Linked DNA regions of Ovis aries. The protein of the gene in region 5 interacts with the protein of the main gene of each other region in a biochemical or structural test. Links are inferred from orthologs where the notes say so. Each region holds a gene or a part of one and is shown on either strand. Other genes may lie near its edges. The genes, in order: CHML, RBSN, APPL1, OCRL and RAB5A.

The links.
Region 1: the proteins of RAB5A (region 5) and CHML form a complex in vitro, tested with the Homo sapiens proteins (2 studies listed by BioGRID). The link is inferred for Ovis aries from reciprocal best matches to the Homo sapiens genes RAB5A and CHML.
Region 2: the proteins of RAB5A (region 5) and RBSN form a complex in vitro, tested with the Homo sapiens proteins (3 studies listed by BioGRID, with this or other methods). The link is inferred for Ovis aries from reciprocal best matches to the Homo sapiens genes RAB5A and RBSN.
Region 3: the proteins of RAB5A (region 5) and APPL1 form a complex in vitro, tested with the Homo sapiens proteins (2 studies listed by BioGRID and IntAct, with this or other methods). The link is inferred for Ovis aries from reciprocal best matches to the Homo sapiens genes RAB5A and APPL1.
Region 4: the proteins of RAB5A (region 5) and OCRL form a complex in vitro, tested with the Homo sapiens proteins (2 studies listed by BioGRID and IntAct, with this or other methods). The link is inferred for Ovis aries from reciprocal best matches to the Homo sapiens genes RAB5A and OCRL.

Annotation. Positions count from the first base shown.
Region 1 is NC_056065.1:34,431,395-34,437,530, reverse strand, and holds part of CHML (rab proteins geranylgeranyltransferase component A 2), read right to left. Parts: 5' UTR 6,074-6,136; intron 3,870-6,073; 5' UTR 3,538-3,869; coding exon 1,570-3,537; 3' UTR 1-1,569. UniProt on the Homo sapiens protein: Substrate-binding subunit (component A) of the Rab geranylgeranyltransferase (GGTase) complex. Binds unprenylated Rab proteins and presents the substrate peptide to the catalytic component B.
Region 2 is NC_056072.1:57,117,940-57,123,512, reverse strand, and holds part of RBSN (rabenosyn-5), read right to left. Parts: intron 4,390-5,573; coding exon 4,287-4,389; intron 3,287-4,286; coding exon 3,182-3,286; intron 2,563-3,181; coding exon 1,420-2,562; 3' UTR 1-1,419. UniProt on the Homo sapiens protein: Rab4/Rab5 effector protein acting in early endocytic membrane fusion and membrane trafficking of recycling endosomes. Required for endosome fusion either homotypically or with clathrin coated vesicles.
Region 3 is NC_056072.1:43,953,312-43,959,447, reverse strand, and holds part of APPL1 (DCC-interacting protein 13-alpha), read left to right. Parts: intron 1-695; coding exon 696-778; intron 779-1,457; coding exon 1,458-1,616; intron 1,617-2,240; coding exon 2,241-2,429; intron 2,430-3,521; exon of another isoform or gene 3,522-4,543; intron 4,544-5,238; coding exon 5,239-5,281; intron 5,282-6,136. UniProt on the Homo sapiens protein: Multifunctional adapter protein that binds to various membrane receptors, nuclear factors and signaling proteins to regulate many processes, such as cell proliferation, immune response, endosomal trafficking and cell metabolism.
Region 4 is NC_056080.1:113,504,720-113,510,855, reverse strand, and holds part of OCRL (inositol polyphosphate 5-phosphatase OCRL), read right to left. Parts: intron 5,862-6,136; coding exon 5,772-5,861; intron 5,065-5,771; coding exon 4,944-5,064; intron 4,856-4,943; coding exon 4,694-4,855; intron 3,427-4,693; coding exon 3,325-3,426; intron 2,810-3,324; coding exon 2,695-2,809; intron 1,626-2,694; coding exon 1,509-1,625; intron 1,403-1,508; coding exon 1,215-1,402; intron 1-1,214. UniProt on the Homo sapiens protein: Catalyzes the hydrolysis of the 5-position phosphate of phosphatidylinositol 4,5-bisphosphate (PtdIns(4,5)P2) and phosphatidylinositol-3,4,5-bisphosphate (PtdIns(3,4,5)P3), with the greatest catalytic activity towards PtdIns(4,5)P2.
Region 5 is NC_056054.1:278,206,653-278,213,288, reverse strand, and holds the start of RAB5A (ras-related protein Rab-5A), read right to left. Parts: upstream 4,571-6,636; 5' UTR 4,372-4,570; exon of another isoform or gene 4,201-4,371; intron 4,023-4,200; exon of another isoform or gene 3,642-4,022; intron 459-3,641; 5' UTR 366-458; coding exon 203-365; intron 1-202. UniProt on the Homo sapiens protein: The small GTPases Rab are key regulators of intracellular membrane trafficking, from the formation of transport vesicles to their fusion with membranes.

The DNA.
Region 1 (6,136 bases), on a different chromosome or scaffold from region 5:
TGAGAGAGTACAGTAAGTGTGTGCTGCTGCTGCTGCTGAGTCGCTTCAGTCGTGTCCGACTCTGTGCAACCCCAGAGACGGCAGCCCACCAGGTTCCCCCATCCCTAAGATTCTCCAGGCAAGAACACTGGAGTGGGTTGCCATTCCTTCTCCAATGCACGAAAGTGAAAAGTGAAAAGTTAAGCCACTCAGTCGTGTCTGACTCCTAGCGACCCCATGGACTACAGTCTATCAGGCTCCTTCATCCGTGGGATTTGCCAGGCAGGAGTACTGGAGTGCGTAGCACACAGTAAATGCTCTGTTCCAGGGCAAAAGAAATGTAATTAAAGGGCTTATTTCCTATAGGATTATCATTCTCTGTCTGAGGAATAGAAATGGTGACTTAGGAAGGAAATTTACTTCTTCTGAGTTTCACAAGCTTGCTCTGCTAGAATATAAGCAGCTTTATAACTTCTGGTGGTTCTGGAAAAAAATATTTCTATCTTCTAGATAACAGCTAAGAGGCAGGAGCTGATTATGAAGGTGTCCACCTCGTTACTTGCTGGGACACAACCAAAGGGGCATGGTAAAGCTTCCTCTGATTTACTCCTAACAACTGTAGTGTTACTAATTAAAGCGGTGGTGCCAACAAAATGGTATACTTCACTTCCATTGAGAAATCTTGGGAAATCTACTCACAGATGGATTTTTAAAACCATCTGTAATCCCAGGTTAAAAATGCTTCAGGCATTCTGAAATATCTTTTCCTGGAGCAGTTTATTTTTTCTTTAGCCTGAATTACTTAGAAGTTCTTTTGTGCTCTGCATAAGTCTTCTGAAGTATTGAACCAGAACTAATCTTTCCCCCTAGATTTTCTTTGGACCAAACCTCCCAAGAATGAGCTTTGCAACTACTAACTGAACTCTCTGACTCTTTCCAATGTATAAGACTGGGATGACATCACTGCCTCATTGACTACAAGGGTCAACCAGGAGAATTAAACTGCAAGGTGAATTCTAAACATCACCTTTACAAATAAAAGATCATGCAAAACTATTCTTCCAACAATTACATATTTTATCACATTGGCACTTGCATTAGTTGCTATTGCTGCCACCATATCTATATGTTTCTATTATAAACAAAAGACCCACATAATTTCCTGTGTTTCACTACTCAGAGGTGGTAGCAACTGTAATAGCTGTAAAAATAATTTAAATATTCCTTAGATATCACCGTTCTGTAGACAATAATAAAATTTGAAGATAATCAGCAGATATAATATCATCTTCCTTTAAGCACCATTGCTAACACGGAACTCTCACATATATACCCAGTACTAAAATAAAGCTAATTCTGGGTCATGGAGCCCATTCTGAAACAAAACAAGTCCAATACCCAATACATCAGTCATTGATAGGTTAACAAAGGCATCCAATGACTAAAAGTCACAAAGAGAATTATAGACATCTGCATGACATTCATCATATAACCACATCTAATTACTCCTATAGGAAACTGTCCTTTAAATGAGAATATTCTGATGCCAGGACAAAGGCCCAAAGTAGCATTTCCAGTTTGTTTTTTTTTCTAATTTTGAAGGTGCTTCCCTGAACTTTCTAGGTTTTTACTTCCCTCAGAGGATTCTAGTTTGGCCATTACTATATTACTGGTTCCAAGAGGCTCTGATGGCTTTTCATCACCATCAAAGAAAATGTCTTCCGGATTTGGAGGTGGGGGGCAGAATTCTTCACTTGGAAAGATCTCGTGGAAGAGTGTTTCAGCTTGCTTGACGGCATGCTCACTTCCGAGTCCACAGTCAGGCCCAGTGCAGACATAAACGTTGGGAGGCAAGCCATTATATGAGCTTCGGCTGACTCCCGAGGAATCTCTCATGTTAAAATAAAGAGCCCACAAGAGTCCTGGCTTTGGAAGTTCTTCCTTGTCTACTTCTGTCTCAGAATACGGGGTGAATAATTTCTTCACCACTGATTCTAAGTCTTCTCTTGCTGTTTTGGAAGATGAACAGGTCAGATGTACCAGGTAGGTGTCTTTCATGCATGTCATGGTTGAAGAACATAATTCAATGATTCGGACAGCATGTGCTCCTGGTTCCACTGGAGGTACTATCAAAATGGAAATCTGCTGATCTGAATCTGTCTTTAGGACAGACTGATCTGTAATGAGCACTGCCCTGGATATCTGCTTATACTGCACACTGGAACATGTTTCCTCAGACAGGTAACTATCCTCCACAATGAAATATTTAGCATTTATCCTTTGACCAAGGTGATCTATAATTGCTTTACATCTTCCAGATTCTCTGTCAACTACAAGGCATTGTACTTTATGGCGAAGACAATATATTCCACCGAAAACTGCACACATCCTGCAGAAACACTGGGGAATTTCGCCTTGGCCATATAAGGGAAATAAAAAGGGAGTGTTGCCAAACCGTCCAAGACACTGAAGAAAGTTTTTTGTTGCTTTAAGGCCATCTACTGTAGTGCAAGATGATTCTGACATCATGGCAATCGAGTGAAGTATAAAATGTTGGAGGCTGGGGGTTAATTTTTTGGTTTTCAAGTACTCTGAAAATGAGCATTGTGTGAAAGCTTGGTATTCCTCAGGATGTTGTTCATAATCTAAACAAAATGTAAGAAATTTCATTAGCATCCTCTTTTCAACCATAGTGAGCTCTTTGCTATTAAAGACATCTGCTCTGGAACAAGGCACCTGCTCTACTTTTCCTTCTCGAAATGCAAGAATCCTAGTGACATTTTTAAATTCAGCGTAACGACTAACATTTGATTTGATTAACAGATCAATTAACAGTCCTTGAGAATAAAGCAACTTCGATGACAGATCAATATTAAACCTCCTGCCTTCTTTAACTATTTGAGAGTAAGCAATCCTCTTTCTCTTTGGTGGCACACTGTTGTTTTCCAATACAGGTTTGATTTCATCTTTAGTGCCATCTGAAAGTGTGTGTTTATAAGTATCATACCCACAATATTCTTCTTTCACAGAAGTTTCTGCCGTATCAGTTATTTCTTCATTGTTTTTTGGATTGTTGTCTACATTGTTGTCTTGTGTAGGCACTTCATAGCTAGTAATGTGTGATGAGTGAGTTTCCTCAGACAAGCTTGTAGAATCCAGAGGTTTTATGAGGGTACTAGATGCTACACAAGGATTTTTCTGCAGAGCATCAAGCTCTTCAATATTGCCATCCATGCCCTGACTGGCATAACAAAACACTTCGGCGTGTTGAATGGTTTCATCCTTCTTGCAAAGAGGGATGGCTTCTTCTGTTTCATGGATCATGTCTTGCCATGCAGCAGGGCTTTCTTCCACAGTGTCACTGTTTTGCCGATGTTCCTTCAACCAGGACAGCAATCCTGGAAAGCTGAAACTAGCCCAGTTTCCCCCATAGTAACTTCTTGAATCGAGATGCAGAACCCTTTGACCACTTCTGGAACATGCAGCGGCAAGGATGGATTCAGGCAGACCTGTCCCCATCACTATCACATCAAATTCTGTTGGGAGACTGTTGGCCATCCTGGAAAAGTATCTGGTGACAACTTCTAATGAAGAAAATGTGTATGAATCTGGGCTGAGGGTTCAGAGAAGGTGTGACTATGCTGTAATAAAATCTCTCCTTGTGATATTCCAGATCATCCCAGAAATACTGAAGTTGCAGGTCCCAGGTATTCAACTGCTACCCTTTTTTAGTATTATTTTCTTCTAGGTCAGTAGCATAAAACCATGATAAAGTACATCTAATCATATCTGAGAATAATAAAACAAGTATACGGTGTTCATTTTTGTGTTTCATCTTAGCAGTGCATGTCAAAATGTATCACATATGGATTTGTGACTGGAATTCTGCTCTGAAAGGAGAAAATTCAAGAAAGAATACAATTATTAACAACACTAAGAGAATAATAATTTCAAGCATCAACAATTATAATCCTATGGAACACAACTTGATATCAGGACATAAGATTTTACTAAAGCAAGTCATTACATGCTTTCTCACATGTTTTCTAACTTCTTGAAAATAAGCAAAAGATATAGACTCCTCCAAGTCAGGCAATTCAACAATGAAGAATGGATATAACAACATCCCACAAAAATAAAGAATTAGTGGAGTACAATTCTATAACTTTTGGTTTTAAGTATTTGAATAAATGGTACACAACTAGGAGATTAAATTGCAAGTAACAGGTGGCTCCACTGTGTTTATGGAAACATACTATATACTATGTGCATGCTGCTGTGATTATGCATATTTCTGTGGCCCATACAGTCTGTAGATGCTTCTAAGACAAATGATGAATAAAAGACTTTCTCATGCCCCACCCACCTTTAGGCTCTTATGGGAACAACATGAGACTATTTCTATTGAATGGGCCACTGCTATAATCAGAAAAGGATTAATTCAATAAAATAGCATATTGAAATGTTTAGGTATATGAAAGAATCAGTCTACTGAAAATGCATTTGTAAGAAATCCTTATATAAATGTGCATATGCACAGGTTTGGTTTTTAGGTGTAAGTTAAAAAGGAAAAGTCCTGGGTCCATATGTTAAAACACTGCAGTATAAAATAACATCTACTTCACTGGAAGGACTGATGCTGAAGCTGGAGCTCCAATACTTTGGCCACCTGATACAAAGAGCTGACTCATTGGGAAAGATCTTGATGCTGGGGAAGATTGAGGGCAGGAAGAGAAGGGGACAACAAGAGGATGAGACGGTTGGATGGCATCATTGACTTAATGGACATGAGTTTGAGCAAACTCTGGGAAATAGAGAAGGACAGGGAAGCCTGGCATGCTGCAGTCCATGGGGTCACAAGGAGTTGGACACAACTGAGTGACTGAAGTACAGCTTCTAAAAACCTATGTCAACATAGGGTGACATGCATTTTATGAGACCCTAGCTCTGAGACTGAATCTCTTCATCTCAAGATGAAGGTCTAAACATCCTCTGCCAAGATTAGCATGTTGTTTGTTGTTCTTATTTTTGAAGGGGTAGGAGGTGGTAGTAAAGAAAGTCTCTCCTGTTAATCTGTAGCATCATTCTGTTGTATTCCACGTGCAGAACACCTGCATGGTGGTAGGTGTTGCCAGAGGTGCAATAGCCAAAGGGCTGAAAGGCATACTCACCTGGAAGTTATTAGATTGAAGTATTACACAAACCACATGCTTGATGGCCTTCCTATCATTGCGTGGTAAGAGTAAGTTTCTTGAGCTCTGATTTTTCCTACTGCTACACTTACTGAAACCTAGATCAGTGCATACTGGGCCTGCCTAGGCTGAGATGACTAGATGGGTATCCTGGATACCCATATAACAAGCCATTCAACTGGAACTTGAAGTGACTAATTCACTGAATTGATAGTTCAGTTTAAATGAGATGGCAATCTTCATAGTCTTATCTGGTCAAAGCCTCTGCCTAAAGAATATTAGGGATTCCACTTGCTTTCAGCATTCCCTAAGAAACCAGGAATTGAGCACAGAATGAAGTGGTCGCCTGGCCTACTCATATATATATGTGAATTACTTATTCTGCTTTCTTCCTGCAGAGTGTGGAGAGGAAGACAGAACCCAGAACCCATGAGGGTATGTGAAGAAGTGTAACCATAGTATGTACCTATTTTTGGCTTAGAAGGGGATATAGCAGAGGGTTGGGAGTAAGAGAAAGGATATAAGCCATAAGTGCTGAAACCAGCCACCTCCTAACCTACAGGTATCAACGGAATTCTCATAATACAAGGCAAGGCAGGACAACCTTAAAGAACATTTAGCTCAATTACCCTGTAACCCCAGGTAAGAGAACTGATGACTGGAGAGATTAAGTGACTGGGAGAGTCCACATGATGGGTTAGCCACAGGATTAAGTGGGACCCATGCTCACACCATCAGGCCAGTGGTCTTTCCATTTGACAGAGCAGCCTCTCTAGAAGCCTCTGAAGTAAGCAGTCACTTTTGATATTTTAGAATGTCCTGCCCTTCACTACTCCAGGGTTAGTTAGTTCTTGCTTAGGGCTAGCAATGAGGAAAGCACCCTCCCTCTCTTTAACTCTTACCTAGAAGCATAATGTTTGGAATTTACTCCAGAATCCGCCAGTCAATGCAGGAGACACAGGTTC
Region 2 (5,573 bases), on a different chromosome or scaffold from region 5:
ATTGTTCATTAGTTAACAAGCAAAACTGCAGCAACTCTACCCAGAGCCGAGCACACTTGGGTATCTGATGTCAGATGTTAATTAAGGGTCATGTCCCTGTAAACCTAAGCACCAAAGCGAAATTCACAATTTCCCTTTTTGCCCTTAACTGGTGAAGAGTTCAAGTACTGCGGTTCTACCACAATGATCCTGGGTTGTGCCTCCTACAACATTTTACTTTTATTTATTTTTTTTGGCCACACCACACCCCTTGCAGGATCTTAATTCCCTGACCAGGGATTAAACCCATGCCCTCAGCAATGAAAGCTCAGAGTCTTAACCACTGGACCGCCAGGGAATTCCCCATTTAATTTCTTAATACTACTAAACGTAGGTGAGAGAGTATCTCACCAGTGCCCACGGTCAGCACAAGATGACCTGCAAGACAAAAAGGCTCATTGACAAGCCTTGGAAGTTACTGTCATTGACCTTCTGACTCAGGGGACTTCAGCTCTTCTGGCAAGGTTCCACGAGGGTTCCTGACCACCAACTCCTAAACTATAGCCTGGGCCCTTAGAAAAAGCCCAGCTCAGAGTAACTGTGCCGAAGCTCTAGACGACGCTTTCTCTGGGGACAGACAGTTGTCCCGGTGGTCATTCACTTCCACAGAGCAACAGTTGGACAGACTCTGCTCCCAAAGTATACTACTTCTATCAGCCAAAAAGTTAAAAACTGCTGTTCTCTAAAAAGCTTATGAACAGACTCACAGTGATAACCCTGCACTGGGAGATTAACTTCCTGAAAGAGAGAAATAAGAACTAAAAGGAAGAGGGCAAGAGATCGTGAGGAAACCTCGCCCCCATCACCCCTTTTAAGAGGGGCTTTCCTGGGTCTAAACTATTGCCTCCACAGTGAGACCTTCCCCTGCCATCGCATAGGACGTGCCCAGGAGGGTAGTGGAAGTCTCAGGCCAAAGGAACATAGTCTAATGGGACAGCCTAAGAACCGAGTAAGATGTCAAGGGCTCTATGCTGTGTGTCTTGGCTAAAGGAAGGGCGCTATAGAAGGCTGCCCTCTAACACTGCAAGCTGATCGACGCTAGGCAGGAGTGAACGCGGGCACAGGTGCACACGGGAGCCATTTCTGCCCAGGGCCCAGCGGAACCGCACCTGTGACACCTCGGCAGTGAAGATTTCACGTCCCTTCTACAGGGAGAACACAACTATTAAAAAAAACTCAGGAAAAGCAGCAAATGCATGCTGGTTCTTCCTGTTCTCGTTCCCATTTTACTATTCAGCTGTCACGGGAAAAGCTCCAAGTGCACAGCACAGAATAGCCGATTCCTCCACTCTAACCTGCAGCCAGCTTAAACTCCGCCTTCCCCCTCCATGCCGCGCCCCCAGCCCGCCCGCCGGCTCCGCAGGCCCCCGCCCGGCCGGGTCAGTCGGTGCCCCGCTTCTGTTTAGCCAGGGTGCGCCTCAGCTCCCGCAGGTTCTCGGTCAGCACCTCCACCTCGTCCAGGCGGCCGCACTGCTTGGCATCGAAGATGTACGCCTTGATGTTGTCGATCTGCTGGAGCAGCAGCTCCTCCTCGATGGGCTCGGCGCCCTCCTGGCCGTTGCTCTCCTCCTCGAAGGGGTTGGTGCAGGGAGCCTCCTCGAAGGGGTTGCCAGGGACAGGGGGCGATGCGGGTGTCCGCGGGGGGGGCTCATCTTCCTCCTCGAAGGGGTTGGGGGCGGGGCCATCCGGCTTAGCGAAGGGATTCCCCGCCACAGCCTCCTCTTCCTCCTCTTCCTCAAAAGGGTTGTACTCTCTGAGCACGCGGGCTGGCAGGCTGAGGGAAGGCTCTGGAGCAGGAGGGCTGGCCGTGCCCTCGGCTGAGGGGTTGGCGAGGTCTTCTTCCTCATCGAAGGGATTCAGGGAAGGCGCCTCACTGCACTGCGACGCAGTGCTCTGGGGCAGGAACTCCTGGCCCAGGGCTGGGGGCCCAGACCACCCTCGGAAGGGCTCGGGAGCCGAGCTGGGTGGAGAGGTCTTGGTGGCAGTGCCGCTCTGAGCTGGGGAAGAGCCCAGATCCAAAGCGTGAGCGAGGTGGGTGCGCGGCTCTCGGCCCGGCTCCAGCTGAAAAGGCCTGATCTCCCGGAAGTCCAGGGACCGAGTCCGCGTGTGCAGAGAGGCCGCCTGGCCCTGCTCGCGCTCGCGCTCGCGCTCCCGCAGCACCTGCAGCTGCTCGCGCTGCAGGCCCTCCTCCTCGGCCTGCCTGCGGGACAGCGCGATGGCCTTCTCGGTCTGCTGCTGGTCGTACTCGTCCTGCAGCTGGCGCAGGTTCTCCTGCAGCGTGCGCACCTCGTCCGCCCGGCCCGCAGCCTTGGCCTGCCGGATGAAGGACGTGATGTTGCGGATCTGCTGCAGGAGGGGGTCCGCGTCCTCGCTCTGCCTCTGGCCTTCCGCCAGCGGGAGCCAGCCCTCAGCCTTCCTCAGCGGAGCAGGACCCATGCGAGCGGGCGCCACCTCCCCGTTGGTCGCGCGGGCTGCCAGGTCACTCCGCCTCTCCTCAAGCCTCCGCTGGGATTCCAGGGCAGCCTGGGAAGATACCAAAGCCAAAAAGAAACACGGTCACCAGGCCAACAGCCACACTGCCGGCCACCACTGCGGCCATGCCATCCCCATTCCAGTGAGACCCCAGTCCCCCACCTCGGGACTGTGGTATTCAGCTGCTAAAATCAAGCCATGATTTTTCAAAATTAAAATAACAAACCAGTAAGTTAAGGGGTAAGCTTTCCTCCACCTCACATTCACTGGCTAAGCACTTACCTTAAACCTCTGAGATCTATTACCACTCATCTACACTGGAATCTCACACAATCTTAAATACACATATTATTCTCTGTTTAATACTGCATGTTCCAAAGTGTTCTAAGAACTCCCTGGTGTCTGGGTCGTCTGCAGCCTGTACTGGGGGGAGGACTGCCAGTCTCCATGGTATTCTAGACAGGAGAAACTCAGCAGAACCTCCGAAAGAAAAATAGGACCTGGGGAGAAAAACAGTTACTTTGATTTCTAAAATGCAAGAGGCCAGAACAGAAGGAAAACACAAACCAGAGCGAGTGAGAGGTTCTGACTTAACAGCAACCTCACCAGACCTCCTGGGAGCCTTGGAGGCCTCTGTGCTCGTGGAGCCAGCGTCCCCTGCCTCGCTCACCTGCCTCTCCAGGATCCTCTTCAGCTCCATCTCCTGCTTCCTTTTCTGTTTCAGTTCCTCAAACTGCTCTTTGGTCGGCAGTGACATCAAACCAAGCAACTTTTCCTGTAGGGGGTCATGGACAATTTTATACTTAAACCCCTTTCAGGATAAAAAAAAAATGAATCTGAAGTTCCCTAGTGAGAGCCCGCTGAAGCTACGTCACATCAGTCTAAGACAGTCACCCTAACGAGCAGAGCAGGGAAGAACCTAACCTGGAAATCAGGTCCATGCCAGCTTCCTTATGGAGGGGCCAGCCTTTTCATTAGGAGATGATCAACACCAGACATCCCGGTTACTTGCCGTCTCAGTGAGGCCTTTTCCTGCCTTTCCTGTCTATTAGCACATCTGTAAGCCACCATCTGAGCCCCACCCCCATGCCCTCCTTTCGTTTCTTCCCAGCACTTACCACCCTCTTAAGCCATATATTCAGCTCTTTCTCATCTATCCCCTCTCTATAATATAAGCTCTACGAGAACAGGAAGGTCTATCAGGATACCCAGCACCTAAAACACTGCCTGGGCCGCAGCGGGCACCCACCAACGACTATGGAACACAGTCATCCATCAAAAGCAGGGAGGGCGTCACTCTGCATGATGGTGTCAGGCAACTAATCGAACAGGATACGCAGAGCTCCGTCAGGAGCCCCACAGGCGACTGACTCTCACAAGGGCTTTCTGAGGTTGAGACGACTCAGATGCAGCCTCCCAGGTGGAGTGAGCCCTTGAACAATCACCTGTCTCCTCCAGACCAAGGGCCCAGGGAGAGTCCCCCAGGAGCCTATCGCAAGGAGGAAATACTCTGTGCAAGCAGGTCCACCAGGCACTCCTCACAGCAGCAGAGAAATGGGAGTCTATCAGACGCCCAGGGACAGGGGAACAGTTACATAAAGGGTGGTGAGCACACCCAGAGCAGGGTCTAGGTCACTTTCCTTTGACATGCAGATTTTTCTCTAGATGTGGCTGACACACATGTAACCCTAAAGAGCAGTAAGTGTGCGAACTTAGTGCCAAGCAAGCCATGGGCCCCATCCGCCCTCCTGAGTGGTGGAGAGCGGCGGCTTTACCTGCACAAACAGTGTGGCCGAGTATCTGATCATCCTCTGCAGCCGCAGAGTGTTCGGATGTGGCGGCGGGTCCTGCTTCATGTCTAAGGTTAAGATCTTCTTACTGCATGAGAACAAACACGGCGCTGTAAGAGGCACGGCCAGCCTCAGAAACACGGGTGGAGAGTCCCCAGCCGCCAGGCTTGCGTGCCGGCAAGGTATGAGGAGAAATGCGCTCCAGGCTCCCCTGAAACGTCTTTGCGGGTGAAGCCCGTCTCTTACCCGGTGGCTGTACTGGAGGCCTCAGACAAGCACGGGGCAAACGACAAACACCCGGCCACCGAGGGCCCGTGACCGGTGCAGCGAGGAGCCCTGTGCTTAGTTCAGCACTCTGCTGTCACTGCCTTACAAGCCTCCTTTTTTGTATTTATTTCTGTATTTGGCTGCATCAGGTCCTGGTTGCTGCTGCGGGCACTCGGGTGCGGCACGCAGACTTCTCTTCAGTTGGGGGCGAGGGCTCAGTAGTGGAGCACACAGGCTTAGCTGCCCCGTGGTGTGTGGAATCTCAGTTCCCTGATCAGGGATTGAACCCACATCGGAAGGCAGATTCCTAACCGCTGGGCCACCAGGAAAGTCCCTTACAATTCTAAACTTTGATCAGGGGACCTGCATTTTCATTTTGCTTCTGATCCTGCAACCTATGTAGCTAGTCTCGCACGTACGGATGGACAAGGGTTCCGCATCTGTTTTCTGAATCACAGTACTTCCTATACTGCAAAGGGCTGATCTAACCCCAACAGCCAATCCACAGTTAAAAAGCAGTAGCTGGGAATTCCCTGGTGGTTCAGTGGTTAAGACTTGACCACTTTCACTGCCGTAGGCCTGGTTTTGGTCCCTGGTTAGAGAAATAAAATCCCACAAGCCACACAGTACAGCCAAAAAAAAACATATATATATAGCAGTGGTCAAACTGAACTAAGAGTCTGGACTTCCATCCTGGTCCCAGCACTTTTGCTAGCTGTGGTGCATTCTTGCACCTATAAAATGGGGGTGTTGATCTCTGCATCACAGGGTAACGGGTAGAGCACAAGAGCCACCCTGTGTGGCAGCAGCCAGTGACCGGCACGCAGCTGCTGCCAGTCGGCTCCTGTTCCTGCAGCAATCACGAACGGGAAAACTCCTCAAGCAAGCTACCGAGACGCACTGAGAGCCGGAGCTGGCAGCCCCTCAGCCTCCTCCTCACACAAACCCCGGATCACCAGGACCAGGTAAGCTGGGCCTGCTGGCCGCCCACCACCCCGTAAACCC
Region 3 (6,136 bases), on a different chromosome or scaffold from region 5:
ATTTTAGGGTAAATTAAACACACTTACCTTGGATTTAGACCTTGTCCATCTCAGCTGAGGACAGCGAACAGGAAGCTAAAGCACTCCGGAGCTACTCCTATTACTCAAGCTTCCAATCACTCTTGTTTTATAAAAAATCTGAAAGAGAATGGACATGCTTGAGTTTGTCCCATGTTCCTTGCATACCTCCTGAGTTAAACTGGATAAACTCCAAAGTATTCCAAGAGTGGTTACATCAGGAAGGAGGCTAGAAAATTAAGTTTGAGTAACATAAAACAAAATGGCAGTGCTCTAAAAGGAAGAGTTTATGAAATTTGAATATTCTTTTGAAAATGAGTGCTTATTATTCCTCTGATATAAAACTTACTTATCTTTGTAGTAAACATGAATTAGTTTATCTGTGTGACTTACTTGAAATGTTTGAAAATACCTTTTCTAATTTTAAAAACTTACTTAACCATATGTATGTGTTACTGTATAAGAGGATGCATGGTGAAATTTAAATGTAGTCTCTTCAGTAACTCTGCTCAGTAAAAATCACTGTAAACTACAACCTGTTTTTACACAAATGGGAATAACCCTTTTTACTTAACTATGTATCTTGGCAATTGTGTATACGATTCACTCTAAGTATTTTGTTTGTGTGTGTGTGTTTCTGTTGTTGACCCTCCCACTCCCACACCCTCTTGCCCCAGATAAGTTTCTTTAAGATGGGTTCTGAAAATCTCAATGACCAACTGGAAGAATTCTTAACTAATATTGGAACAAGTGTACAGAAGTAAGTATTTTCTTCCTTAAAACTGAAAATGAAGTTATGAGAATAAGCTAACAGCTAAATACCATAATCTAAAAATAGTTAGCACTTAATTTCAGATGGGCTGTTTTCCCTGCCATGGGAGTGTTTCTTGAGTGGCTTGTGGATGTTTCTTGGTTTTCTCACCATCTCTTCCACAGCATTTGGACTCTGAATTTCATAACAGTGTCAAATCGGATGGTATTTTTATTGATTTGAAACTAGGTTTTGTGTCTGAATATAATAGGCACCTAATAGTAATTATCCATAAGTGAATTATCTTCACAATTATCTGAATTGTAGAGTATGGATGGGAGATTATTAAATAAATCTAGAGAGAGAAAAAGCAGTTCTAATCAGCTTCAAAATCCGAGCAGTCATGTGGTTAAACTGTGATATGGAGAGAGATGAAAATGATTACTGTTTAAAGGCACAGGACAGAGCAGTTTGAAAATTCCTCCAAAGTGAGTCATTCGGTGTGGATTCATTAGCTTTGGAATTTGGTATTGGTTTCAAAATATCTAAAGTTTCAAAACGTAAAGCTGCTTTATAGCATGCTACTGCTGTTCCTTAGGAAAACATACAGAACAAATATACAGATAAATGAGATTGGTGTGGTGTTCTTTGTTCTGGTTGGTGGTAAATAACCTCTTCTCTCTGTTAGTGTTCGCAGGGAAATGGACAGCGATGTAGAGACCATGCAGCAGACAATAGAGGACTTGGAAGTGGCCAGTGACCCCTTATATGTGCCTGACCCGGATCCCACAAAGTTTCCTGTTCATCGAAACCTGACCCGGAAGGCGGGGTACCTTAATGCTAGGAAGTAAGAAAACGATTGTTATTTTCATATATTGTGTATCAGTTAAGGCAATAGCAAGTCAATATAATATATAATTGATAGCTCCAAATTGTTTTTATTTTACTAAATATAGAATCTTTCTACTAATACCACAATTAGTATTTATGTCAACTTTTTGACTGATGAGGTACGTGAGTAATTTTCAAAAGTAAAATTCTATTTAGATTTTTATCAAATGATTTAGAATTATTTTAAACAGGGAAACCAATTAGAGTTTAAATAAATGGCATAACAAGTAAATGTTATGATAATCATTATCATAATTTAAAATATATGTAATCGCACCATCAAGTCAAATGTTAGTTTTTACCTGAAGAAAGGATAAAGCAAGTTAACCCTCAAAGTAAAATAAATTTTGTTTTGAATTTATTCCCTTGAATGTTGGACTGTATTTTATGGAGCATCATTATAATAGCTATAATTTGATCATTTCCAGTCTTGTTTTGGAAATGTATACATGCACACTCACGCAAGGGGGTCAGCATATGTGAATTTATGACTGAAAAACTGATGTTTATGTTTTTTAGGCACCTTCATGCCGTTTTACCTGGCTTGTTATTAAAGAATAAATGTACTTTCTTCATTTAGTAAAACAGGCTTGGTGTCATCTACCTGGGACAGACAGTTTTACTTCACGCAGGGTGGAAACCTGATGAGTCAGGCCCGTGGCGACGTAGCAGGAGGCCTGGCCATGGACATAGACAACTGCTCAGTCATGGCTGTGGACTGTGAAGACAGGCGGTACTGTTTTCAGATCACTTCTTTCGATGGCAAAAAGTTAGTATGTTTCTCTACTATTTAAAAAAAACTGTCATATCTTAAACTACTGAAATGTAGGGTAATTCCTTTGCATTTGGACATTGTATAGATCTTTTAGAATGATTATGTATCAGGATAATTTTCATTTTAATTTTGTAGAAATTAGTTGAATTTTCCTTTTTGACTTGCATAAATAATGTCTTAATATTTTGAGGCTGTCAAAGCAAGTTTATGTGGTAAAGACATGTGATTTCATGTTAAGAGATTGGTCACTGAAAGTCCAGCATGGTGTCGGAAAGGCAGCACAAATTAGTATAAAGAGTTTCAGCATGGGGTCAGAAAGTTTGAATTCTGGATCCACCAGCTACTTTATAGTCTTAGACAAGTTACCTAACCTCTCTAAGCTTCATTTTTCTACTTGTAAAATGAGGGGAGGGAGGGTCTTCATTTCTATTTTATAAATTGATATGAAGACTAGAAATCTAACATATGTAATGTGCCCAGTGTGTAGTAGGTGCTAACGGTAATATTTTTAAATGTTAATCATATATTTCTGATCATATTAGTTATTTAGGCCATTAATATTTATATGCCATGTTAAAAATTTCTATTACCTTTGCATTAAACAAAAATTCCATAAAATAGCTTTAAAAACAAATTTTTGAGAAGCACAGAAAAAATATAAAAGGGAGTATGAAAAAAAGTTATAACCTCACTAACCAGAAGCAACAATTAACTTTTTGGCTATTGCCTTACAGTTTTTATATTTTATTCTAAGTACATTTTTTAAATAGTTAAGAAAATACTGAATGTTTATTTCATAGTCCTTCTGTAAATATGCAATGGATGTCAATTACTGTGTGCCACTTATGACACCAGATGTTGGGAGTCCCTGTGTTCATTTGTCCAAATCACCAAACTGTTAATGTTACTGGATGTATTTACATTTTTATATTTTCAGTTTTCTGCTAATGCTTAACATGATTTTCCATTTCATATTCCCCGTGTGATGTAAAATTAGCAAAAACAATTTTTTTTCCTAACTCTTAAAATATTAACCTCTATAGATGAACCTAGCACCTATAATACAGAGTGAGGTAAGCCAGAAAGTGAAAGACAAATATTGTATATTAATGCACGCATGTGGAATATAGAAAGATGGTACTGGTGAACCTGCAGGGCAGCAATGGCAACGCAACATAGAGAACAGACTTGTGGGCACAGTGGAGGAAGGAGAGGGTGGCATCAATTGCGAGAATAGCGTGGAAACATACATTCAGTTCAGTTCAGTTCAGTTGCTCAGTTGTGTCCGACTCTTTGCAACCCCATGAACTGCAGCACGCCAGGCCTCCCTGTCCATCACCACCTCCTGGAGTTCAGCCAAACCCATGTCCATTGTGTTGGTGATGCCATCCAGCCATCTCATTCTCTGTTGTCCCCTTCTCCTCCTGCCCTCAATCTTTCCCAGCATCAGGATCTTTTCAAATGAGTCAGCTCTTCGCATCAGGTGGCCAAAGTATTGGAGTTTCAGCTTCAACATCAGTCCTTCCAATGAATACCCAGGACTGATCTCCTTTAGGATGGGACTGGTTGGACCTCCTTGCAGTCCAAGGGATTCTCAAGAATCTTCTCCAATACCACAGTTCAAAAGCATCAGTTCTTCGGCACTCAGCTTTCTTTATAGTCCAACTCTCACATCCATACATGACTACTGGAAAAACCATAGCCTTGACTAGATGGACCTTTGTTGGCAAAGTAATGTCTCTGCTTTGAATATGCTGTCTAGGTTGGTCATAACTTTCCTTCCAAGGAGCAAGTGTCTTTTAATTTCATGGCTGCACTCACCATCTGCAGTGATTTTGGAGCCCAGAAAAATAAAGTCAGCCACTGTTTCCCCATCTATTTGCCATGAAGTGATGGGACCAGATGCCATGATCTTAGTTTTCTGAATGCTGAACTTTAAGCCAACTTTTCACTCTCCTCTTTCACTTTCATCAAGAGGCTCTTTAGTTCTTCTTCACTTTCTGCCATAAAGGTGGTGTCATCTGCATATCTGAGGTTATTGATATTTCTCCCGGCAATCTTGATTCTAGCTGGTGCTTCCTCCAGTCCAGCGTTTCTCATGATGTACTCTGCATATAAGTTAAATAACATATACATTACCATATGTAAAATAGATAGCCGGTAGGAATTTGTGACACAGGGAGCTCAACCCAGTGCTCTGTGATAATCTAGAGGGATGGGATGGGGTGGTGGAAGATGGGAGGGAGATACAGGAGGGAGGGGACATATGTATATCTGAGGCTGATTCATGTTGATAAATGGCGGAGGCCAACACAATATTGTAAAGCAGTTATCCTCCAAAAAAAGAGAAGAAAATATAAACCTACATCTCCTTATGTTAGTGATTAATATATTGAAAAGTTTTACTTAAAAATATTCAAGGAAAAATAGTAAATAATGAAGTAAAATTAGTGTTTTCTATTAAGACCACTGATTTATATTTGAAATACATGCGGTGAGTGTCAGAAAGTTAAAATGCATTGTCTTAGTGTCAGTGTCCCTTTTCCATAGCCTGCCTTCTGAAAACCAGCACATTTCTTTTTTGGTACCTCTTGGCAGAGACAGACCAAGTGAAGAGTTGTTAAAATCTAAGTCCTGATACCTCTGGTAGTTAGTCTCCTTCGTTACATGTTTTCTGTTGTGTTTTGTTTTTTGATACTGATTGGTTTTATGTGTATCTTTAAAGGTAAACATTTCTCATTCATGTTAAAAGTACTTTAGAAAAAAGTTGAATGTCAGACTTTTGGGTTTTTTTTTTTTCCAGGTCTTCAATTTTGCAAGCAGAGAGTAAAAAAGACCATGAAGAGGTAAAATTTTATCTATTCATATTTAATTTCTTTATCATCACCTTAAGCTCTTTTTCCGATGATAAGATATATTGATGTGTTCATTTTAGATATTTGGGAAATCATGGTTAATTTTTTCATAAAAGTCAATTGTCCCTCAAGCAACATTCTTAAGTTTCACATGGAATTTTATAAGTGGACCTATAAGTAGAGAGCTTAGAGATCACTGCTTGCTGTCCTTTTAGAAGCTCAGATTCAGAAATAGCCTTGTGACTGCTGCTTTCTGGCAGGCTGTTAGTATCATGAGGCTAGAGTTTAGTTTATTCCCTTCTCTTACCAACCCTCTGAGACAGTATTTGCTGCATTAAGAACATAGTAGCAGCAGACGTAGCATGGCAGTAAGCAACTAAAGTTTAAAGCCTTGGGGAAATGAAAGAAAGAAAAACAGAAATGTGGGAGTGTTTATTCTTCCTCATGACTCTCTTGTTTTTGGCCCCACTTTTACTTGTAGTACACCAAATATGGAAGGTGAGTTACTACTAAGAACTGACAGGTGAAAACCTGTCTTGAGCAATCTTCAGTGAAAATATACTCTTAAGTTGATTCTGAGCCATTTTATCTGCTATTATATAATTGTGTTGGTAGAAGACAATGTTGGAAATTATGTAGAGATCAACTTTTATTTACTTCTTATAGAAAAGAGTAGGTATTAAAACCTGCTTTTGGTCTCTGAGGAATACAGATATACGTCTGCTCTTTGCAGGGTTTTTACCAAACATAAGAAATATTAGGTTAGTTTTGTGAGGCTCCTCAGGCACCAGAATCCTTGAGAGTGAAGCAGAGGATGTGGGGCAATGAGTGTTTTCTGTGTTATTT
Region 4 (6,136 bases), on a different chromosome or scaffold from region 5:
CTGATGTCAAGGCCTTGCTTTACCACTGTGAAGCAGAATTCCATATGATCCTAAATGTTGAGACAATATGAACAGGCCAACATCACTATCTTGCCCTACTCTTTCCTCAATTACCCCACTCTCTATTGATTCTAATAGCCCTCAATTTATCTTTTGTTTTCCTGCTAATTCCTATCTCAAACCACTTATTCCAAGTCTCATCACCCTCTCAGAGTTTCAATTACTAGTGTTAATTTCCTCACAGCTATTTTCTCAACTGATTCCTTGAGAATCCATTCCTCAACTGATTTTTGTTTCTGTTCTTATTAAATTCCATTATTCACTAACCTTTCATATTAACCACTGGTGTTTTTAAATCACCATGGCCCCTTTTCTGAATGATTCACAGTCAGTGAAAAGAATAATGTAGACCTATGTTTACTGGCTTGGAAAATAATTCACAAAAAATAGGATAATACAGTCCTATATACTGAGTATGTGTGTGCATGTGCACAGTTAAAAGTCTAGAACAGCACTATTCAGAAGAAATAGGATGCACATTACAAATGTAATTTAAAATTTTTTAGTAGCTGAATATAAGAAATAAAAGAAACAAGTGAAAATAACTTTAACAACAAATTCCATTCAACTCAATATATCCAAACTTTTGTCATTTCAACATGTCATCAATATCTTAAAAATTGAGATAGTTTACATTTTCCCCCATAATTTCAGTGCATAGTCTATGCTCACCACACATCTCAGTTTGGACTAGTTACTTTCAAGTGCCCAGTAGTCACCTATGGCTACTGGACTGCCATACTGGACAGCAGAGATCTAGAAGGATACACACTGAATTGTCCACAGTGGTTTTCTCTGGAGGGAGGGACTGGCTGGGGAAAGCAGAGATAAGAAATGATGGATTTTTTTCCTTTCACCTTTTATTATATTTATAATAAATATTTCTATTTTATAATAAAAAATAATGAAAACTGATTACAACTGACAGACCCCCTCCACCAATACTCAGATGTCCGCTGATAGAACTAAGCTTTCCTCTGATAGCAAATCTAATTTCTCTGACTCATTGCATCTGCTAGTTGTACCTTCCTCTTCTTTGTGAACCCAATCCCAAAACAGTAATCTCTCACTCTGCACATTTCTATAGTTTCTCATCATGGTTAGTCTCTTCTCAGCTCCGCTACTCAAAGGCTAAAGAAGACTTAACCACTCACTCATGTTTCATGATGTTCAGCTGTGGGAGGGTCTGATTTGGGACCACAAAACTCATTCGTGCGCAGATGTCCTTATAATCTTGATTCCTTCTTTCAAACTCTTCCACGTGGGCAGCCAGGTGGGAATTGACAATGCAAAAGGTAGTGTTGTGAAATACAAACCTCACAGCTACCCCACCTTTGTTTCCCTGTTAGCAAGAGTAATTATTCACAGTTAGTACAAAAGACACAATGAGCACCTGAACTTCATATGGACATGAAATCATAATCAAGCTCAACTCCAGATTAACTCACCATCTTTCCCATGATTCCAGTTCCAACAGTTTCTGTAGCAATATCACGGATATATCGCAACTGATCCTTTCTGGCAAATATCAGGAGCATCATCCCAACAAGGCGGACTAGCTGAACCTTTAAGTTCCAGGAAATTAGAAGAGGTTTGTGTTAATACCACTCTTTGCACATCTCTAACTTCCCACAAGTAATTTTCCACCAAGAAGATATAATCATGCCTCAATTTGAATCTAAATCCTCTAATTTCCCAATGGACCTCATAAACAGGCAACAAAATTTTTCCAGGAAAGCGCTAATCTGGCTCTGACCAGTAAAAGTCTTCAGGGACAACAAGTACCCTCAGCTCTAGATTCATTATTTTAATCACGTTTTAGCCTACCATGAGTAAGCAGTATTTAAAAGCTGAATAATAAAGACAAAGCCTCTATCCCAGCTTGTTCCTTTTGCCTCTCCTTCCTAGTAAATTTCCTAATAAAATGTATAACAATCCTATTGACTTTGTGAACTAGAAATATGTCTGAAATATGTATTAGTCTATATGAGAGGAATAACATCTTCAGCAGTCTTATCACCTACATCAGGTGTAAGAAGGGGCAGATGAAAATTACTCAGACAGATGACTCCTTTTGAAGGGCTTGATATGGTAGCTGAATAATTAAAATAACTCTTTTGGTAGCCTCTACTATGTGCCTTCTAAAGACCAACAAATTGGGTCACCTTGCTAAAGTCAACTCTACTCTTGACTTACAACCAAGTTTTAAACTCATTTAAATTCCACAACACTCCTGTTCTTGCTCCAATTCTAAAGCTTACCCAATGCACCCACATGCTTCAAACTGCTTTTCTGTAAAGCATCCAGTTCTGACCGTGTAAGCAAACAATTTCAATCTTAAATTCTTGTTGCAAAAAATCACTTATATGTCATTTGAGTTAATTATTGCTATCAGCACAGTAAAATTCTTCCTTTCTCTTAAAACTTAGCCAAGCAATGAAACTATAGAATTGAGAAGCTTAGGGAATTTTTTTTCTAGGAAATAGGAATGAAAAGCATTAGTCTGCCCTATCCGGTATTACACATGGGGGAGAATTCAATTAATCCATTCTTTTGGAACAAGCTATAAACAGAGTAACTTCCAGTGAGTGCTATTTAGTCATATACTAAAAAAGATAATTAAATGCAGCTTACTTTCTTATACTTGGCTTTGGAATGCAAACTCCTCTCTACCGCCAAGGACCACTCTTGTTCTTTCACAGATTCAAAGTAGAAAAAGGCTTCTGTGCTCAAGTCCAGCTCTTGGAATCTGAGAAAACAAGAGGATGTGAGATCTACATCCCATAATTATCTCTGACTACCTCCTGTCCCATTTTCTGAGACATTAGGTGAAAAAAGGAATGTGGGAGAGAGGAATTTTAGAGAACTGCTCTACTGCTCAAGTGATCAGTAAGGACAAGTAGTTTTCTTTTCAAAAGACTCCCCCACAAGTATATGCATAGGTCAAGCAAAACACACAAAAAACTTCCATAAGGGATAACAGAGCTTTGCTTATATATCCTAGGAATAGTCACTATTAGAATTAACCTCAGATCTCAGTTTCTATGAAGAATATAGTTTTCTATGGGTTTTGAGAGGACTAGATGCTTCCTCACACCATTTTAGATATCTGTTCCTCTATGATCTCACAAATTTGACCCACAAGTTAGCTCTCATATATAGTCTACAGTAGGTTTTTACAAACAGTGGGGAAAAAAGGGCAAAATGTCACATAAAGTAACACCAAACACATAGCCAAAATGAAATTCCAGATATGTATTTTACCCAATGCAGTAGATATCAGGAGGATTCAGATCACAGTTCAGCCAAGGTTCTAACCCACTATCTGGAGACTGGCCATTCACGTTCCACGTTCCAACAAAAAATCTAATACATAATACCAAAAAATAATTTAGAAACAAAGGTAAAGTATGAACTAAAGAAAGTTCTCTCATTACTTCTATACAAGTGTATATTCACAATAAGCCAGTGCAATTTCTCAAGCTGCTTTGCCACACATACCAAAACCCCTTCTTGCCTGTAGAATGCAAAGGCAGTGGGCTTATTCCCTCTAACTTTCACAGCAGGTAAACCTACAGAAAGGAATCAAGTTTCTATTTAAAAAACACAAATTTAACGGCTCTACCACATTTCCTTCCTCTTACATTCCATCCAAACATATTTGAAGGGAGAGCTTCTGGATGGGAAAGAGGTATCTTCACTCTGTAAGGATGTCTAATATGGATAACTGTTCCATAAGGAACCATAGTTAAATCCAAAAACTCACTTCTTGAAGGATTAGAAGGACATCTGTGGAGGAAATTCTGTTGAGACAGATATAGTATTAAGGGGGAAAGCAGAAGGGAAAACTCATGACTGTCTTAACTGTTTACATACAAATATAAGCATCCTGGGGAATCTGAAGAACTGGAGGCTTCAGCACAGGGATATAGTCATGACTGAATTAGAATAAATGAGGCATAATGGGATAGCAGATGGGACTGGAATCTTGGACTAAAAGAGTACATGCTGTTCGCAAATAACAAAGAAAAACGTTGCTGCTCTGCACATCGAGATACACGGCACAATACACCATTCCACACGCCACACACAGTGAATCCAAGAAAGAGGATATCAACAAGTAAAAATGAAATGAAAAATATAATAGAGGAAAGAATTCAAGATAGGCCTCCCAATCAAGAGGATTGGGTGAAACTTCGTTTAGTTAACTTACCAAAGTAGGAAAATGAAAATTAAGGTCTAGCGGTAACAGTGGACTTAATTTGCCAGTACTGGCAAAAAGAAATTCAGCAGGTCAGATAGATAAACACACCTGCTTATGGAATGTGCTAGGAGACAATTCTCTAGTACATGTGAGCTTGATTTCGTTCTCTAAGAGTGGATAGTATTAGTAGATGTGGTATTATTAGTAATTAGAAAATCCAAGGGAAATTGTAGCATTTGCATTATCGCGGATATGTAGGTTACTGACCGCAAAAAGACAAGCGCTTGAATCAACTCACCATTCTTTTTTATTATGCTTTAATTCTGAAATAAGCTAATTACACTAATATCTTAAATACCAAAAGAATATTTTTTCTATACCAACTAAGGTAACTAATGTTTCACCTCCTTAAGTAGAAGAGAGACTAACCTGAAAGTCTGAATGTTGACATATTCTTTTTCTCGCTTTGCCAGGATGTGTTTGATGAGACCCTCCCGCTGTCCAGACTGGGTGTTTGGTACAAAGAGCTTCCGCATGGTGTTGGTCACTTTGGGGGGTTCCTTGTTAGAAGCTTCTTTTTCACGTGGAAGCCTAGCAAATAAATGAGCAATTCAGAAGTGAAACTGCCTTCACCAGGGAAGTCTCACACATGGGAAATCTGTTTCAACACAGGACTTACATTCTATTCACTGAAGGGGGTGGGGGTGGAGGTTCCCGGTGAACCCCTATAGGCTGATTCTGCAAATTGATTTTCTTGTCCAAATTCATAGATGAAAAATTATCCTCAAATCCAAGAAGCCCTGAAGGATGCAGAACCCAGAGTCAAAGCCGGGGAAGATAACATCCAACTTGTTCAGGATAGATAGGACTTTGCTTTGGTCAGCGGTTTTGGTCTGACCCCTATTTGCTCAGCAGCGTTACCAAACAGAAAGGTATACGAACAGTGATAACGTAGCTAGGGGAAGAAGCACATTTGTCCCTGAACCACTGACATATTAACTAGAATGATAAACATAACTAGTAAGTTACATTAACTTGGAATGTGACTAAAAGAGCGAGTATTTATATACTTTTAGCACAATGCCTGGTTGATAATTAGGGATTATATCACTATCTCATTTAATCGTCACAAAGACCCCCCATGAGATAGGTGCTATTAAAAAATCTTCCTAAGTTACAGAAAAAGAAACAGAAGCTCAGAGATGTCAAAGTAACTTGACCAAGGTCATATAACTAGGAAGTCAGACAGCTGTGATTCAAACCCAGGCAGTCTGCCCCTGGAGTCTGCATTTTTTACCCATCTGCTAAGCTGGCTCCAAAAGAGCTAATGTGCCACAGAAAGTAACAGGACTGAACATGAGGTGGTGAGTACAGATTCCAAAACCACTCCACAGGAGAAGGTATCTGACATTGACATTACCCCACACTATCTTATCTGCCCAGGTAAAATCTACTGACTCTGCAATCATCATAGCAACCAGGGGAAAAAAAAGAATCTTTTCAGTACCTGAAAAAACAGAAGAGTTGTCCTTAGTGTCTAATTTCTGGTACCAGCTGGATGACTCCTTTTGGTCTGGAACAAGAAGCTGTGACTGAGCTGGAGAGATAGGGGTCATAGAGTGAAACAACCATTCCACTGAATGGAACTTACCATAACCAAAAGAGGAGCCTGGCAGGCTACAGTCCATGGGGTTGCAACAGTCAGGCACGACTTAGCAACTAAACCACCACCACCACCAAAGGCCATTCACTTAGCACCATTCCTGAACACAAAGGAAGAGACTAAGAAAAGGAGGGCAGCTCTGGGACCATCTGGGGCTGGAGGAGGATTACTGTCTGCAGTAAGCTGGCCATGGCAAGAAACAGAAGATT
Region 5 (6,636 bases):
AAAATATTAAAACACATTATCAAAAAAAAGCAAAACACATTATCTTATCAAAAATCAAGCTATAAAGCTTGAGTCTGCAGCTCAGCTCTTTTATTCATGCTGTGACCTATTTAGTTACCCATCATCATACAATCAGAACTGCAAAATCTTATTTGTCAACGTATGAGTCAATTAAATGAAGAAAGGTAAAAGAAAATCTCACCCCCGATGGTACTCTCCTGAAATTCATGAAACTGGCCCTTTACGAAACGAAGCACAAGGCTCGACTTGCCAACAGCAGACTCCCCCAGAAGCACCAGTTTAAACTGGCAGATCTTATTCCCAGTGTTTGGCCCGTTGGGTCTTGCTGCTCCTCGATTAGCCATGTCCAAATTTGAAAGAAGTCCCTAATATCAGTTTCTTAAATGAACTTCCAGGATGCAAGGAGTCAATTCTTTTCTTTCTGGAGGTAAAGAAACCTGTAAAAAAAACAAATATGAAGTAATTAAAAATACAAATCAGCAAAACAAAGCAAACCTCACATCATCACTTTAAAATTTTGCCTGCAACACAGTAATACACGACAACTAGAACCTCTATTGGACACTGACTGCCATTTACTTTAATTCACTGCCTTGATTAATAAGCAAAGGTATGAGCTTTGAGCCTAAAGTCATGCTGTAATTTTTAAGCCTCTGTAAACATTCTAAGTCTAACCTTTACTAAAGACTCAATTTCGTGCCAGATGGTTTTAAATACTTAACATAGCCACTCAACAACCCTATAAAGTTGCCTATTCCAATCCTTAAAAAATGAGGAAACAAGCATAGAAAGGTTAGGTGACTTGACTGAGGTCACACAGTTACTGTGACAGAGCTTCAACAGAGCTGATTTTCAACCCATGCAACCTGAAAGGTGACTAGTTCTGGTTCTGGAACTAGATTACTTAGGTTAAAATGGTTTTGAGTAAAATTAAGTCAATTAAGGAAAAAACCTTAGAGCTTAAAACAGTTAAGCTCAATAAAAGTCAGCCATTATTCTTTGAAGGCTCCTTGTAAATGGCACATGCTTTTTATTTAATGGTAACTTTGGAGCAACAAATATTTTAAACAGATCTATGTCTGGTGGCTAAAGGATTTAACACTGTATTCTCATGTCCTCAAATACATCATCCATGGAAGTGTTAACAGCGGTTCTCCGGATGGTGAGTGAGTGAGTGTCCTACTTACTTATACTCTTCTGCAGTTTTGGGGCTCACAATTAAACGTGTCATTATTTTCTATTTAACACACTTACAAAAAACTAGCCTAAAATGCAACTTCTAAGTCTTCTTTTATCATTTAATAATGATAATTCTCAAAGATACTAGCAAACTTTAAAAAAATTATTTTCCAAGCTACTCACAAATCATTAGCTCAGTCAGTAAAGACTTTGCCTGCAGTGCAGAAGACCCTGGAAAAGGAAATGGCAACCCACTCCAGTATCCTTGCCTGGAAAATCTCATGACAGAGGAGCCTGGTGGGCTGTAGTCCATGAGGTCTCAAAGAGTTGGGCACGACTGAGTGACTAACACTAAATAACTCACAAATCAATCATAATAGCTTTCTTCTACTTTTAATCAAAATCTGACCCTGTGCTTAATAACATTAAATATGATGATTCTCCTTCTCAAGTCACTGTTGGATTTCATTTAGGTACCTCGTAAGAAATTTGTCTTGCCCATGAAACGAGTTTATACAAGAATCTCTCTTAACAATCAACTCATTAATAAACATATCTATGAGACCATACATCTAAGACAATAAAATCTCCTCTACTTTATCTAAACAGCAGCACTGAAGACCTCTTATCTTTCAGTAATACATACTGTACCTAAAATATTTACAAATGAAATAATAGATCTGAGTTGCTCCCAAACAATGGGGGTATAAATAAAACAAGATAACTGAAGCTAGTTGATGGGTTCATTATACTATTCTTCCTGCTTCTGCATAAAGAATTTTCTGTGATTAAAAAAATGCTCCAATCTCACATCTATCCTCCCACCACTCCCAAACATACATCTGGGGATCTAATTCGATATAACTATACTAATTTCTGTTGGAGCAAGTGCCTTCATTTCAAACTCTCTACTCCGGAATATCCAATTTTCACAACTGCTGTGAGAAATTAAGAGAATATATACCTAAAATATTTCTGATACAGTGGTCAACACATAGCAGCGATTGAAAATAGGCAATTAAAGTGCCCCTTTGATGAAATAATGACCAAATATCAATAGAATGTCATGTAAACTGAAAATGTACCAACAAATCTTCATATATCACACACAACAGCAACTGAAACACTTCCCAGCTATTACCTACAGAACAGCAAACTGAATTACTCATCAAGGACAACGTGCTCTGAATTCCTATAGTCCTCCCGAAATTTCAGGGAAAGCATCAGATGCTCATTAAAGGAAAAAAAAAAAAAGATTTAACTTTGGTTATAGTTCCCTCCAAGGACCTCAAACAAAAATATTAACTAAATCTAATTATGAATATAGTTAGCATTACATTAAGGTTAAAAGCTATATTTTGTAATATTCATTTGTACTCATTACAAACTTTTGTTTTCCAAAACCAAAGATTTTGCAGAAAATGCATTTTAAATCTTTTGAAAATAACTGCTATTCTGTAGTTAAAGTCCTTCTGGGTGCTCTTTGATCAAAATTGAATTCATAACAGCAGCTAACATTTACTAGGCATTTATTTTATGCCAATCACCATTCCACGAATTAGGCTTACAGCAACCCTAAGAAGCTCTTATGATCCCCATTTTAAATTAAGAATCAAGTTTCTTGAACTGCCCGGAGTTATCGCAGTGGTGTCCATGTGGTTTTTTCCCCCACTAGTTATGTGAAAGGCAACTGATTGGACACTTAGGCTCCACTTCAGCAAAAGACAAAAACCAAGTATGCGAATTATGACGTTCAGAGCTTAAAAAGTCTGAAAGTCTCTAGAGAGTAGCCAGTTTGCAGGGAGGCGAACAGCAGAGCACGTTCAAACGGCTCCACCGTCTGAGGGCCTCGGCGGCCTACCTGGGTCGGGTTGCTTTCAGGCCGCGGTTCACCACCTTCCAGAGCTGAGACAAGAGGCCCTGGACAGCCGGGCTCCCCGGGCCACCGCCTCCCTCCATTACCCGGCTCGGGGAGCCGGGGTGGGCGGAGCTCCCCGAATTCACACCTGCCGGAGGCCCAGGTTCCTCCTCGGGGAACACCTGAGCCACCGGCAGCAGCTCCGACCGGCCAGCAGGCAGGCCCGCCGGCCCGCGCGCACCCCTCCCGCCTCCTCCCCGAACCCGGCCCGACTCCGGCCGCGGACCCCCTACCCGGCTGCCGGGACGGGGCAGCGGCGCCGCGGCCTCCGGGCCGCTCTCGCGGCGCCATCTTGAGAAGGGAACAGGGTGATACCCGCCGCTCCCTCGGCCGGCCCCCAAACCCTGGCCTCCGGGGCCCCTTCAGGGGGCCACCGCGGCCGCCGGGCCGAGACGCCGCGTCCGGCGGCTCTCCGGTCCCGGGCCCCGGCGCGAGCAGGAAGGCCGGGGGGCCCTGTGACGGCGGGGCCCGCGGACCACCGGGGCTCTGACCCGCTTCGCGGGCGGAAGGCCGGCGGGGCTACCTGGGCTCGCCGCGCGTGGAGCTGCGGCGCTGAGGCTCCGGCTGCAGGTTCCAGGCGCAGCCCAGGCAGGGCCTAAAGAGCGGCGGCGGCGGCGTGTCCTCCAGTCGCGCCGCTCCCCTCAGACTGGACGGTGCGGGGATCGCGCCGCGGTGCCGCCCCCGTCGGGCTCCGTCCCCGCCTCTCTCCGCTCCGCCTTCCTCTTTCCTTTCTCTCCTCCTCCGCCGCCGCCGCCGCCCGGCGCTCGAGCTCCCGCTGATTCCTCCTCCTCCTCCCTCCTCCCCTCAGGCCCGCCGCCGGCTCCTCCGCGAACCAAAACACAAACACTCCAGCCCCAGCGCGAGAGCCACTTCCGCCGCCGGGCGCCGGCCTCGCCGCCACGTCGCCGCACGTAGCGAGGCGCGCCCCTCCGTCACTTCCGCCGCCGCCCGCCCGCCCGCTCTGTCCGCGCCCCCGCCCGCTCTCAGAGCCCTCCCTGGCGGGGCGGGGCCGCTGGGTCACGTGACCCCCGCCGCGGGGCGGGTCCCGCCGCAGGCCACCTCCCACCCCCGGCGGCCCTTGCGCGCGCAGCCCCGCCCTCGCGCGCGCCATTGTTGTCTGCTTGGGGCTCTCTCGGGCTGTGGGCCGGGAACGGCGGGGAGGGCTGTTTAGCTGCCCCGCTTTCGGCGGCACCCTGGAGAGCTCGGGCCGACGTAGGGCTGTGACTGTTGGCGCGGTGTCCCCCGTTCCTTACCCTGCAGCACCGACTCTGCTAGGTCGGCAGACTTTTCTGGCAGAGAGAGCCTCCTGACGCGCGTCCTTGGGGGTGGATGGGTGGGTGAAGGCTGGTGAGGGGCATTGACTCCGGGGAGGAGGGTGTGACCCGGAGGTGTCCTTTTAGGCAGGGAGGTCTTCCGTAATAACCTGCTCTCCCGAGAGTTTTACGCGTTTTTGGTGGAGAAGGGCACGTTATGACATAATAGGTAGCTTTTACAGGGAACTTCCTGTCATGGGTTACTGTTTGTACTAAATTCTTCACGGGAATTAATCCATTTTTCTTCCTACGCTAGGAGGCTTCAGCTCTGAGACTAGCGTGGTTGTCCGACTTCCTCTGGTGGAGTATGACCTCCACAGAGTGGTCTCGCTGCTGTCTAGCACGATGACTTGACAGCCTGGAAGTCTTCAGTCATGTTTGTGGAATTCATGCCTGTTTAACTGGTAAAGAATTCGAGGCACGGAGATTGTGTAACTTGTCTAGAATCACGGCGGAGTAGGTGCTGAAATCGTCTTTAAATTGCAGACTGGCACAGAACCTGAGTTCTTAAGCACAGTTCCATTAAAGAACCCAAGACATTCATTAGCTTCCTCTGCAGGAAGTTAGTTAGAGAACTAACATGTTTGCCAGGAAGGAAGGGATAGGGAGTTTGGAATGGGCATGTACACGCTGCTATATTTTAAACGCATAAGCAGCAAGCACCTACTGTGTAGTGCAGAGAGCTCTGCTCAATGTTAGAGGGCAGCCCCGCTGGTAGGGGAGTTTGGAGGAGAATGCGTGTTTACCATTGAGTCCTGTCAGGCTTTTGGAAATGCCAGGGACTGTAACCTGCCAGGCTTCTTTGTCCATGGAATGTTCCAGGCAAGGAGACTGGAGTAGGTTGCCATTTCCTACTCGAGGGCCTCTTTCGGACCCAGGGTTTCTTGCATCTCCTTCATTGGCAGGTGGAGTCTTCTCCACCGTGACGCCTGAGAAGCCACTCTGGGGAGAACGGATACACATATATGTATGGCTGAGTCCCACTTGAACCTATCACAAACATTGTTAATTGGCTGTACTCCAGTACAAAATAAAAAGTTAAAAAAAAAAAAACCAAAAACTTGTTTCTGGGCATCTGAAACCAAACCAACCAAAAATCCTTTTGGAATTTAGTAGAGTGTTAAGTCGATTTTTCCTCAGGATGAGGGTTTGTGTTTTTTTTCCCCCAATTTGCTGTTTATTATTTATAGCTCTGTTGTGAGGACATCAGTATTGACTGTCTGACAGGTGGAATTAAGGACAAATCTTTCTTCAGTGCCACCTGTATCCTGGAATTGGTAGTTTAGGTTCAGGATATGCATGATGTAAGCATTCTATTATAAAATGTGTTGTGCTTGACAGATACAGAACACCCTTATGTATTGATTTATAAGGAAAATAAGATAAAGTATTTTAAAATAAATGTTCAAGTCACTCATGTTCCAAAGTCAGCACCGCTGTATTCATTTTTATGCCGTCCACACGTATCACATTTTTATTTTGTCATTAGTTTGTTCTTGTGAATCAAAATTCAAATGATTTATGTTGAAAAGCCTCACTCCTATCTTCTGACTACTTAGTTCTTTTTCCAGTTCTTTTCCCCAGAGGTAGTGTTAACTGGTTTTGCAAAGTTACTGTTATATTCAACTCTATATATTTTCTCCATTTTATGCAATCTAAAACATAGCAGACTCTGCAATATGCTTTTTATTTTTCTCTTTATTACTGTCCCAGTTATCTATTGTTCAGAAACAAATGACTCCAAAGTTTAGTCATTTAAAACAATTACTGTCTCTTGGGGTAGAGTGGGGGCTTAGGAGATTTTCTGATGTCATAGAGGGGGGTCAGTCCTGGGGCTTGCGTCATCTCAGCATGTCTGGGATCTCAGCTGGGGCTGTCAGCCAGAATACCTGCACATGGCTTGCCTCCTGGTTTTGGTTTCCTCACAGCATGTCGCTGGGTTCAAGCATGAATGTCCCCAAGATACCAGGCAGAGGCTGGGTGGCTTTTTATGACCTACCTCCAGAATTTCACAGAGATAGTATCAGTGATGCTCAAGTCACAGACTTGTGCAGATTTGAGGAAAGAAAGGCAGTGTCGTGTTTTAACAAGAATATGCATGAAATCTTGTGGCCATCTTGGAAAATACGCTGATTTTTTAAATCATTTTATGAAAAGTGTCCTCATTTTTCTTGGCTATATCAGCAGTCTATTGAATGAAACATA